Caenorhabditis elegans: one gene and its partner. The protein of the gene in region 1 purifies or fractionates together with the protein of each later gene. This does not show direct contact. Each region holds a gene or a part of one and is shown on either strand. Other genes may lie near its edges.

Region 1 (4,880 bases):
GGTATGTAGTAGAGAGCAGGTACCCAATCCTTCAACACGTAGGTATAATCTCCAGCGTACATTGCTACACAGAGCACTCCGATTGGCACAAGGAACATGTGAAACCACGATCCACAAACATTTTTCCATCCATCATTGCATTGCATGTTACGGCACAATGGTTCCATCTCGTGAATGAACAAGAAATAAACCAAAGCAGTCAGCACATTGCAAACGAAAAACGCGAAGTACGTCGTCTGAACTTCAACACTTAGGACAACAATGAAAAACAATCAGTTACAACTTACCATTGGTGACCTCTGGAAATTATAAAAGCATAGCAGAGCCATAAAACTGAGAAAACTGATTGTATGCGTTCCCTTCATGTAACTCCATTTGAAATCTTCTAAATCTCCTCTTTCACATGTCGATTCGAAGCCCCATCGGCGCGATTTGGCGATTACAAAAAGGGAACCGTAGAGAACAATTGTCGGAAAATCCCGAATAGAGTATATCTGTGCCATTCATCGGTAAGGTCAAATACTTCGTATTCGTAGAATTTCAAGTTTAATTTGTTTAATTTGTCCGCAAGTTTAATTTGTCCGTCACTGGCTGCCAAGTATGTTTTGTAATTGAGAAAAAGTGATGGGAAGTAGAAGAATGCAGCTAACCACACCTTCAACACGTGACCATACTCTGTATTCATGTAAATTGAGACACCGAGAACTCCAATTGGAGTGAGCATCCAAAGACCCCACGCATCGAAAACATCCTTCCATCCATGCCTGCACTTCATCTCACGACATAATGATTGCACTCCCCAAATGTACTTGAAATAGAGCCCGGCAGTTAATGAATTGGAAATGAAGAACGCGAAGTAGGAGACCTGTAATTAAACAATGTATTTTGAAACTAAAAGTTTACAACTTACCAATGGGCTCCTTTGAAAATAGTAAAAAGATAATAATGCCAACAAATTCAGATGAGACATTCCATAAGACCCAATGATGTAGTTTCGTTTGATTTTTCCCAGATTTCCAGTTTCCGTCACTGATCCGTTCGATTTGCTCAATGCAATAAATACCAGCATAAGAATACAAAAAGTATAAATCGCGAACACAGTGTTGTTGTCCCATACATCAGACATATCAACTAACTCGTATTCGTAGAGTAGAATAGCAGTAAGAATAGTAATAGGAATATTAAAACATTGGACATATCCCGGATATTTATGAATTTCATTCATTTCGAACGATGAAAATAAATAAAAAACAGAAAAACAGTCAGAACCGAGGACTGCCATTTTATCTTGAGTTTGCAAAAGAGGGTAATCAAATTAGAAATCACGCGCGACAACAAGTAGATCAAAACTATTTTGTATATCAAAATTATTTACTCCATTGGCAATTGGTAAGACAGAGTAGATCAAAAAGTTGTTTTCTAACAAAACTGCAGAAAATTATCGATTTAGCATATTTGCAAGAGAAACGATTTAAGACACACATATGTAGAGAGATTAATTAAGATTTGAAAAACGTGAATGCATAATAATATGAATTGAATTATGATTATAAAGTGGTGGAGCCTGTAATACACAAGTATGGTGCAGAACTTTAGTTTTGAGAAGTTAATTTTTTTTATTAGCCTACTGATTGTATTATCAACTTTATTGGCCGATTTAACCGTATTTTAGCCCTCAAAGAATTTGTTCACATGTAGTGTTGTAATGGAATTCGCAGAGTAGTAGGAAAATAAAATTTGAAAACCACTTTTGAAGTTATCTTTAGTGAACTGTTTCAAACAAATATTTAATACTTTTTATTCAGAAAAGTTTCAAATTAACACCACACTTGTTTTCTAAAAACGTGAAAATATTAGATTGTACTTTGCGACACGTCGTTAAGTTGAAACAAATGAAACGATTACTCAGAGTTCGCCAAAAAGAATCATTCCTAGCTTGTTGGCAGTCTACAACACAACCAATATTTTTCATCAAAAGAAATGACAAGTGGCGAAAAATTACCGAGTCTTAAGCTTGATATGAATGTTGTAAGTTTGCTCTTTAACTTTTTGGAAAAAATCAAAAGCCGTTTTCAGCCGGTTCGAAACAAATGGCATCCGGTAAAGGTACTCGGATCAGGAGCATTTGGAAAAGTAGTCCATGTTGTCAATATAGTGGATGGTTCCGATGGGGCAATGAAAATGGAAAAGTACCAGGAGGGAAATGAATCAGTGCTTAAAGGTGAAGTAGAGGTGTTGCGTGCATTGTCAGGCCAGAAGAATGCAATACAATTGCTGGATAGTGGATTGGAACCCGATTATCGATTCATTGTAATGACATTATGTGGAATGGATCTACAGAAGGTCTACAATCTATTGAAAGGACAGTTCTCCGATTCTACAGTTCTTCGTGTTGCAATTCGAAGTCTACATGCAGTCAAAGCGGTATGGGAATATTATTTTATCGGGACTGAATTATTTCGCACAAAAGTTTGGCTCGTAGACCGGTAGGCATGAGAAAAGAACATATGCATGCAGGTATGAGGCAGGTGCCTAGGTAGAAAAGTGAGGTTTCAGTTCGAGCAAGCATGTAGAGATAAAAGCGTAGGTAATAGGTAGGCAGCTAGGCAGATATTCGTGAGAGTAGGAATGTAGGCAGCCAAGTTTTATACTTTTAGGCATGTAGGTAGCCACGAGGTAGGTTCGTAGACCTGAAAACATAACCTTATATTTTATGCGGTTTTGACATGAAAATTTAAAATCCTTTTAAAATAAATTTACCTTAAATTTTCAGCTTCACGAAGCATGCTACATACACCGAGACTTGAAGCCATGCAACGTTACATTGGACTACAACGAATATTCGCCGTTAATTTTTCTCATAGATTTCGGAATGGGGCGAAAATATGCAAAGATTGATGAAGGAGAGTACGTCATTCGACGTCCACGAGATGCGGTATGAAGTCTAGAATTTATTGTTTTCTGGTGGAATAGTGACTTTCTATTTTTCTGAGTTGGTCTCGCCACGATCTCAGACATACAATCGCGCCAGAACGGACGCTTCATGATCACTGCTATGTTGCTTCTCGTCCTGGCGCGACAATAGTGGTTTCTTCAGATAAAACTCTGAAAATAGTTGCCTAATCTAATACGTTTGTAGAAACTTACAAAAATCTTCCACATTTTCAGTGCCGTTTCCGTGGTACAATTCGCTATTGCTCTCCCCGTATGCATCTTCGTCGTGAGCAGGGACGTGTCGATGACCTCTACGCCTGGCTCTACATGATCGTCGAGCTGAAAGTCGAGCTGCCATGGTCAGAAGTGGTGCATCCCGACAGGATCGAGTTTTTGAAGCTGGAAAAGTTTGATGCAGCTATGGCTAGCAATCCGTTCGTTTATCTGTTTTATTTCACGTTATTTCAAATCTTTTTTTTAGACTCACAAAATCATTCGAACCAATCATGGATCATTTGAAGACGCTTAGATATCCCGATCGTCCAAATTATTTGATGATCTACGAGCTCTTGGCGAAGATGATGTCGGACTTGAATGCCAAGCACACTGATCCAATGGATTATGATGTTTTTCGGAAGAAGAATGAGGTGACCGATGCTATCAAGAAAAAGTACCAAACGCGATCAAGATTGCCTGAAAAAGCATTAGAGGAGAGCGCTACGATTGCAGTACTTGAAGAGGCATTCCGTCCAAAAACATCCGACGTTCCCGGAGGTGACCAGTACGTGGTGAAGCCTCTTTTGAAGCTGTCATGGGGATCGGTCGTTGCTGCATCTGATGTTAGTTTATATATATGTTTTGTCAAAGATAACTCTTGATTATTTAATTTTAGTTTCCAACTGCGGATGAGGTAGAAACAGTTGAAGAGAAAGATCTGAAAAAGAAGCAAGACGCCAAGAATCAAGAATCTGATAAAAGAAAGAACTCGGATCGAAAAAAGAAAAGTGAGAGAAAGAAGAAAGGATCGAAAGGAGACATGATTCTGGAGAAGTCGAAAGAAACGAAGGATCATAGAGAAAGTGGACGTCGCCTCACTGATCGGGAAGCTAATGCTGTTGGCGGAAAATCCATCGATGCCAAGTCAAAGGGAAATAAGGATATGGAGCAAAGGACTATCATGATTGACAAACCTGGAAGCATAACTCCGAAGAGCAAACGGTCGAGAACAACAACTAAAATTCCACATAAAACTCCACATAAATCTCATCTCAGAAAGGAGAAGCAGGAGTCGTCAGCCAACTCGAAGAGATTGAATGTTGCCCCATTGGTTCATCCCACAGTGCTTGTAGTCCCTGCATCCAAGAAAAAACCAAAAGGAACTTGAATCATTTAGTATGAATACTACTCGAATAAATTAGTTTTTGACTTTCAAAAATGTTGAACCGATTTCTTCTATTTCACTTTTTCATCCAGTTATCAGAAGCTTAGAAATAATTTCATCACAACCGGGAAGTTTAATACAAACTATTTTTGCTGCTGAATAACTAGAAGATGTATTTTTTATATTAAATGAACTTTTTTCTTACCTAAAAGCAGACACTTCTGAAAAGTGGAAGAAGTTTTCGAAGTTTTTATTCCGAAAACTGGAAAATATCAACAAAAAAAAATCGAAAAATTGAATATATAAAAAAGGCTGAACAATTTTTTCAACGTTCCAAAAGTTTCTTGTGTATTTTAAATTTCAATAAATTTTGAAACTGAAAATATTTTTTGAAACATTTCAAAATTAGCAGAATTTTTTGTGCGGAATGATTGCCGAGACGCGAAATTTTGCGCAAGAATACGGTGTCCGGTCTCGACACGCTTTTTTGGTAACTACAAAATGGTTGCCGAGTACTGTAATTTCAAACTTTGACTGCTGCGGAATTTTAATCGATTCTTTATAT
Region 2 (7,261 bases), on another chromosome or scaffold:
ATTTCATAACTTATTGATGAATACGGTAGACTTGCTGTTTCTGTTTTTTCACCTCCTTTGAAAAACTACAATTAGAAAAAAACGCATAGGAAGAAATAAACACATTTTGCTAGTTCCATAGTTTTCAAAAAGCGTGAATCGCCAAAGTTCACAGAACTTGGATTTAAACAATTTCGTCGTTTCAAACGACTTTTTTTTAAAATTTTCCTGTTAAAATATGAAATTCAAGCCCCAACCTCAAAAGTGTCAATTTTTTATACTATGTTTTTTTAACTTTCTGAAAAAAATTTGTATTGTTCCCAAGCGCAAACATCCCGATTTTGTCCACGATTTGCATATTCTTCTTGTCTGTATTTCCCCACATATAAAAACCGTGTTCCATGTTCGTTTTTGTTTCCTTTTCGTCTCAACGCCAGCTTTATCATTTTTCTTATTAACAAAGTTTCAAATTAAATCAAACTAATTATCTAAATAAGAATTTTGATTTTTTTTTGTCATTGGTTTTTCTGACACCGGAACTTTTTGGTGGATATAGAAAACTGAAGTGTAACATTCTGATAGTTCATACTGAGTCTCTATGTATGTAGTTATAACCAAAAAAATGCACCAGAGCCGAACATGAGATTGTTAGCAATCAGTTTATTTTTTAAAATTGGTCAAACTTGTACAATCATTTTTCAACAATTAAAAAAAGTTCAGTTTTTTAAACCCGCAAAAAATCGCCTGTGTAAACTTCCTGATTAACACTGGAGCATTCAGCAATTGTCAGAATATCTTCAAACACCAAGAGTTCAATTGGGGCCCGAATAGGTTTTTCCTCTCCAAGCATCAAAACTTTTTGGAAATTAAAAATCAAAAATTTGAAAGGTATTGCAATTTGTTCGTTATTGCAATATGAAGTGTATAAGCGGTTTTTTTTTAATACTTTCCCGTTCTAGAAATAGTGCAGTACCAAAATCTGGGAGTGTAACCTCGGAAACACACTTCATTTTCCTTTTTCAATTGTCAATAATTCAATTGTGTGTTCTGTTAGCCCCTGTTAAAGAAATATTCGATTTTTCAGTTTGATTTTTCGACTTTAAACTTTTGAAGCAAAAAAAGATTAAGCCGTTCTATTTGTGGCTTGAAACGGTTAGGCCCCCGGAGATCCGACTTTTTCATAGCAGTATTTCCGAATAAGATAATCTTTTTTCAGAAGCTTATATACTTCTATTATCAAAAAAGATAATACTTTTCTTTTTTTGAAGATAACATTCAATATTTCTAAATGTATTCAACCATAAGAACTTTGGAAATAATCCTCTTGTAATGTTGCTACGTATTTGCTCTTTTTTTTTCATTTTTTGAAAACTTCTTCAGTAATAGCTTATAGTTAGCTGATTAATATACATATTTTACAGATTTCAGTTCTAAGTTTGTCAAAAAAATTTACTGCAACAAACAAACCCTCGTCTCCAGGAATTATCGGGTTTGGCGTGAATTGAAAAAGTCGGTGAACGGCTAACCGATAAAAATCGACAATGTGAGGTTGATTTTTTTTAGAGTTGTTTCTTGAGATTGTCAATTCAAACATTAAATTGCGCAGTTTTATATATTTTTATTGTGAGCAAAAAAAAAGTACAGCTTACATATTATGTTTCAGTTAAAACTAACCACACTTTATTTCAGGTCACACCCAAATTATAACAGGCAACCTTCCTATGGTGAGTAAAAATAAACAAAAATCAGCAAAGTACAACATTCTGATTTCTAGAAGGCAATAATGGAAGAAATGATGATCGCAGAACATGGAATGCTCATCATCAGGGAAATAATGGATATCGTGAAAATGATGGAACTGGAAACGCCCAATATGGACCAAACGACAATAGGTATGTTTTTTTTTTTTGAGTTTGACTTTTTAGTCGCGAATCTAATTTTTTTGCGATCAAGCGATGCAATAAAAATTGAATACATGAAACATTCTTTAAACTTTACTTTTTTGCTGCAATACTAATTTTTGATTGTCTCGTATTGGCGCGTATTATAATAAAGGACATACCGTCAGCTATTGTTTAGTTAGTTCACCCTCCGTAAACCTCCGTCACGTCCAATCAATAAGTGGCAGGAATCCTTACGTCATAAAAACTGCAGATGGCAAAGTCAAAGATGTACCAACTATGTTGGTTGATAGTTGGTACATACGCATAGTTGGCACGTCTTTAATTTATCCTTCTCTGTTTTGCTATTTAATGATGTTTACACACAATTTCTCTGTAACTACGTGATAAAATAAACATTTAATTAGTAGATTGCTGCTAATTTTTTTCGTTTTGAAAAAGAGACCATTCAAAATAAAATCAACTTGATGGACAACGTTATCAATTATTTTTTTTCCCTACTGTTAAAATTTAGGAAGAAATCAAAACTCATAGTTTTTCTAATTTTATATTTAGTTTATTTTATAGTGTACTGCACATTTTACAAAAGGAAAGATGGGAAAACTTAGATCGGGAAAATTCACCAAGACGGAGCCGGTGAGTTAAATTGTTTACGGAAAAGATGTAGATAGGCCTAGCGTTCTCATGCAGACGCCAAAACACCTGTCGCTCCCGCCTTGCGGCGATCTCTACCTGCCTCGCGCCGCAAGTCGCGCTTCCTGTATAGTGTGGCGTGAAACCCGATAAGTGCCTTATCACATTTTTTGCAAAATTAAAAAAAAATCTCTTTTTTCGAAACAAAAAATTATGAGATTTTTCTGTTAAATTAGTTTTAAAACATAATTTGCTTTTCAATTTTGAAAGTTTTCCGAAAAGTTAATAGGGTCCACCCATCTTGATTTATTTGATAGACCTAGATGTAGATTAACTAATGTATGCATATTAGCGCCATAATAAGATCCTGTAAAAATGTATAACATTTTTCGTGGCCTATTTTTTTGAAGCTGTGGGAGTTTTTGTTATCAACTAAGATCTTTCATTTGACAGTGGTTTCAAAAAATGTTGAACACCAAAAGTGTTCTAGCCCGGATCCGGTTACCTCAGGCTTTTATAAAAAAGAAGTAGTGAACTTTTTTTTGAAGCTACCGTCAAATCAAAAATTATGGTTAATTACAGTAAATACCGCATTTTTCGAAAAATCGGTGAGCCACGAAAAAAGGTATGAGTTTTGACCAGGAACTTATCCCTCCCCATATTTTACAACACTGTTTACAGATCGTATTCCCCGCGGGATGATCACAGGAGAGGAAGCCCAGGTAGTTGATAAAGCAATGTATATAAATGAGTAACTGAGAAAATGTTTTAAGATAGAAATGATTCAAGAAACGGGTATAATAATGGAAACAACCGATATGTGGAAAGATGGGACAATTCAAATGGGGAAGAATCACGGAGACGGAGCCGGTGAGTTGATTTGTTTGTGCAAAAAATGTACATTAGCTGGTGTAAAGTTATATGAAGAGAAATTGAAAATTAGCTTACGTTTGATAGAGCAACTTTTCCTAGATCGCCCTTGAGGCACAATGGAAATATGCAAGCTTTCGATAATTTCAATGGACAAAATCAAAGGACTTTTTATTATCAGGCAGGCAATGTGCAAATAAGCGCAAAAATAAATTTGCCTGAAGGAACATGTGGAGACGATATGTAAGTTTTTTTTTAGTTTGTATGAAGAAAATTTTTCTCGATAATTTTTAACAACGTTTTTTAAAGAAAAATCCACACAATAGTGTCCATTAATGTCTTTTTCAGTCATTTTTCCGCTCTCATGAATGATCATGTTTGACATAAATTTTCACAGTTTCAAAAAATGAATAAGTAGCGATAAAGTTGTGAATTTGGACCGGGAACAAATCCCTCTAATAGAAATCAAGTGTCAATAAAAATATTTATTTTAGGCAACCTTCTTGGCACATTGGGAATAGACAGGCACAAGGTAAGTGGCAAATCAACAGAATCTGAAAACTTGGAAAATTCAAGAAAACATTCCAGATCAAAGACGGGATTCTCGTATGGGGAGCAATGTGAACAATGATGGTATGAGAAATACGGATCAAAGTTTGCGTAGGCAAGAAATGTGAGTGACACGATTTTGAAATAACCCAATTGAAAATTCATGAAAGACATGAGTTCCAGGCGAAACCTTTTTTACTGTGTGAATACAAATCTAATAATAATTTTTACTCTTAGATCATGCACACCTCCGATGCGTTACGAAAATAGACATGGAAGTCGTAAGTCGCGAAATTTCAAAAATTTCAAAAAAAAAGAAGATTTTGTAGAACATTTCCATGAAAGACAGCAGCAAATGAGTTCTAACAATGTCGGAAACGAACAACGTTCTGAAGGTAGAGGAACAGTTGGGCAATATTGCAATGGACAAGTTATGTGAGTTTTCGGGTGTTTTACAGAGTTGAGCTTTTTCTCGAAATTGTTTAACCAAATTTCATGTCACATTTTAATAACTGTATGTTGTGGCAAGTCTTTGTGTTTTGTTAGACTCAAAATGTGCTCAAAAACAAATTTCGTAATGATACTTGCTCAAAAAACTTCTCAATGAAAATTTAAGAAATTAGCTAAAACTAGGAAGTTTAAAATTACCATAAAACAAATTGAACAACTTTTGAAAAAAATTCCATACAAAGCTTGTTCATTTGAGCACATTTGGAGTTGTAAATTTTGATTTCAAAATAAATTAATACAATTGTTATGTTAGACTTGTGATATTTCTGAAATTATTTTATATACTCAATCGATAATAATTTGAACTATCAGAACACCCCCAAGTCGTGAGGAAAGGATGCGAGAACGTGAGTGACATTAAGAAAAGTTTTTATGTAAAAGCACGGTAATTTTGTAGTCAATGGCCAAAATCAAAGACAACCAAGGTGTTATTTGGGGGCGAACGGAAATTTCAATGGAACAAGACCCAATGATGCGTGAGTTTTTAGTTGTTTTTGTAGTGGTCCTCTTTTTTGAAGAAGCTTAACATATTGAGAACTTTCAGTAATCAGTAATCAATTTATTACTATATATAAAGCGCGTGTCCTTCCGTCCGTTTGTAGTTTGTAGTTTGATCTTTGATCTTTCAACTCTCTTTTCTGTAGTTGGAAGAGGTATTGGGTTGGGAGATGGTGAGGGATAATGTCAAGGTACTGTAGTAGTACTGTAGTAGTACTGTAGGTATACGGTAGGGTTACTGTAGTTCAGGAAAAATTGAGTTTTTGTCTACAGAAGAGGTATTGGGTTGGGAGTTGGTGAGGGATAATGTCAAGGTCCTGTAGTGCTGCTGTAGGAGTACTGTAGGTATACGGTAGGGTTACTGTAGCTTAGGAAAAATTGAGTTTTTGTCTACAGAAGAGGTATTGGGTTGGGAGTTGGTGAGGGATAATGTCAAAGTACTGTAGTGGTACTGTAGGAGTACTGTAGGTATACGGTAGGGTTACTGTAGTTTAGGAAAAATTGAGTTTTTCTCTACAGAAGATGTATTGGGTTGGGAGTTGGTGAGGGATAATGTCAAGGTACTGTAGTGGTACTGTAGGAGTACTGTAGGTATACGATAGGGTTACTGTAGTTTAGAACATTTTGAGTTTAAAACATTTTGAAGAGGTGTTGGCTAGGGAGTTGGTAGGGAATAGTGTCAAGGTACTGTAGTGGTACTGCTGGGGTGCTGTAGGATTATTGTAGGATTATTGGAGTTTGGTGGAAAATTGCGTTTTAAGTTTTTGAAAATGTATTGGCTTGGGAATTGGTGAGGATAATGTCAAGATATTTTGATAGTTTCTTGCTTAGAGTCGGGAACATTTGGGAAGATGTGAATTTTCATTATTTTTTCATAAGACAATTTTGAATGATTGTGTCAAACATTTCAAATGTTGCCAGTCGTTGGCCGCGCCGTAGGCGCGGTCAGCGGCTGGTAAATAATAAATCAGTAAAAAAAAAAGTAATAAAAGTAATTTTTAAAAAAAGTAATAGATCAGTAATAAAGTACTTTAAAGCAAAGTATAGTTTGTAAAAAAAATTTTTGCTAGAATCTTGAATACAATTTTTTTATAAATACCCACCATTCATTGCACATTTTTTTGTTTATTTCTTATTTTTTGGAAAATTTTGATGTTGATACATTCAAAAATGGCAAAAACTGGTCCGATGTTTTAGGGGTTTTTCGAGTTTTTCGATTCAGTATTTCGATCTTAAATTTATATCGTATGGAAGATTACTAGTATTTAAATAACTAGAGACACTCTACTTCTTGCAACTAGCAGTGTTGCTATAATTGCGCCGCACACCGCATATAAAATGTTATGGAGACATTACTTGGCAAATATCGTATTTTTGTAAATCCACCCTAGGCTAATAACAATTTCGATTTTCAGGACAAGACCTCCAATGTCCAATGGAAGCAAAAAGAAGGCAAAAGCATGTAAGTCTAAATAACAAAAGCTTCAATAACACTAATAATATTTATAGCGAGACGTGACGATTCGAGCGATGATGATCTTTATGCTGATGATCCGAATGATCCGGATTACGATCCCCACTTGCATATGATCGTAGTGTCAACTAAGAAAGAGCCCGTAATGTAAGTTTCATTATTTTTGAAGCATGTTGTAGATCAAAACGTTGTCAACTTTTCTGATTTTAAAATTGTTATTTTTGAAAATAAATCAATATTTTCAGGCCAGAACAACAAAGTTTATCTTTGACTGGAGATGAAAATCATCAGAATGAAGGAAGCAACAATATGGAGTAAGTTTTTCATGTTAAGGGTTTCTTCTATTAGAGAGGCATTCCGAATTAGAGAATGTGATAATAATTTTTGAGCGGGTTTACTCGAATTTTTTCTAGTGTATATACGTAATATCATAATTACTTTAATTTCACCAATTCAGCAACAAACAAACTAAAGAAAAACACGTATTTTCCGACTGACCAGTTTAAATAGTTCAAGTTGTATATATTGATACTGACTAAACGACAATTATTAATGTTTCACAATTTGATTATAAAGAATTTCAGTTTGCAAGACCCCGCGTTGCCCAGAAGTCACAGAAGGAGGTAAGTAAATTGAAAGAATGATGGATTGTTGTTTCAACTCTAATGTGATAATGGCGGCACTGTATATTGATTATTGCTCACACTGATACTTCCTGTATCCCAAAAATAGAATTTTAAATCTTTTGATATTTCTACTCAATTGTGAATTTAATCAAAATGAGAGGATTTTTTTGCATGTGGTTAATTTAAAAAAACACCATTTCTAAGACTCACGATATGAAAAA

What was found. The genes of interacting proteins can lie anywhere in the genome.
Region 2: the proteins of T11F8.4 (region 1) and K05G3.2 fractionate together in Caenorhabditis elegans (co-fractionation; one large-scale study listed by BioGRID). This does not show direct contact.

What each region holds. Positions count from the first base shown.
Region 1 is NC_003282.8:5,473,616-5,478,495, reverse strand, and holds T11F8.4 (non-specific serine/threonine protein kinase), read left to right. Parts: upstream 1-1,927; 5' UTR 1,928-1,980; coding exon 1,981-2,028; intron 2,029-2,076; coding exon 2,077-2,424; intron 2,425-2,773; coding exon 2,774-2,935; intron 2,936-3,168; coding exon 3,169-3,368; intron 3,369-3,415; coding exon 3,416-3,773; intron 3,774-3,826; coding exon 3,827-4,318; 3' UTR 4,319-4,365; downstream 4,366-4,880.
Region 2 is NC_003284.9:16,493,144-16,500,404, forward strand, and holds K05G3.2 (uncharacterized protein), read left to right. Parts: upstream 1-1,786; 5' UTR 1,787-1,871; intron 1,872-3,194; 5' UTR 3,195-3,235; intron 3,236-3,286; 5' UTR 3,287-3,383; intron 3,384-3,485; 5' UTR 3,486-3,510; coding exon 3,511-3,626; intron 3,627-3,877; coding exon 3,878-3,915; intron 3,916-3,971; coding exon 3,972-4,056; intron 4,057-4,169; coding exon 4,170-4,213; intron 4,214-4,261; coding exon 4,262-4,367; intron 4,368-4,754; coding exon 4,755-4,789; intron 4,790-4,839; coding exon 4,840-4,918; intron 4,919-6,355; coding exon 6,356-6,402; intron 6,403-6,449; coding exon 6,450-6,561; intron 6,562-6,659; coding exon 6,660-6,732; downstream 6,733-7,261.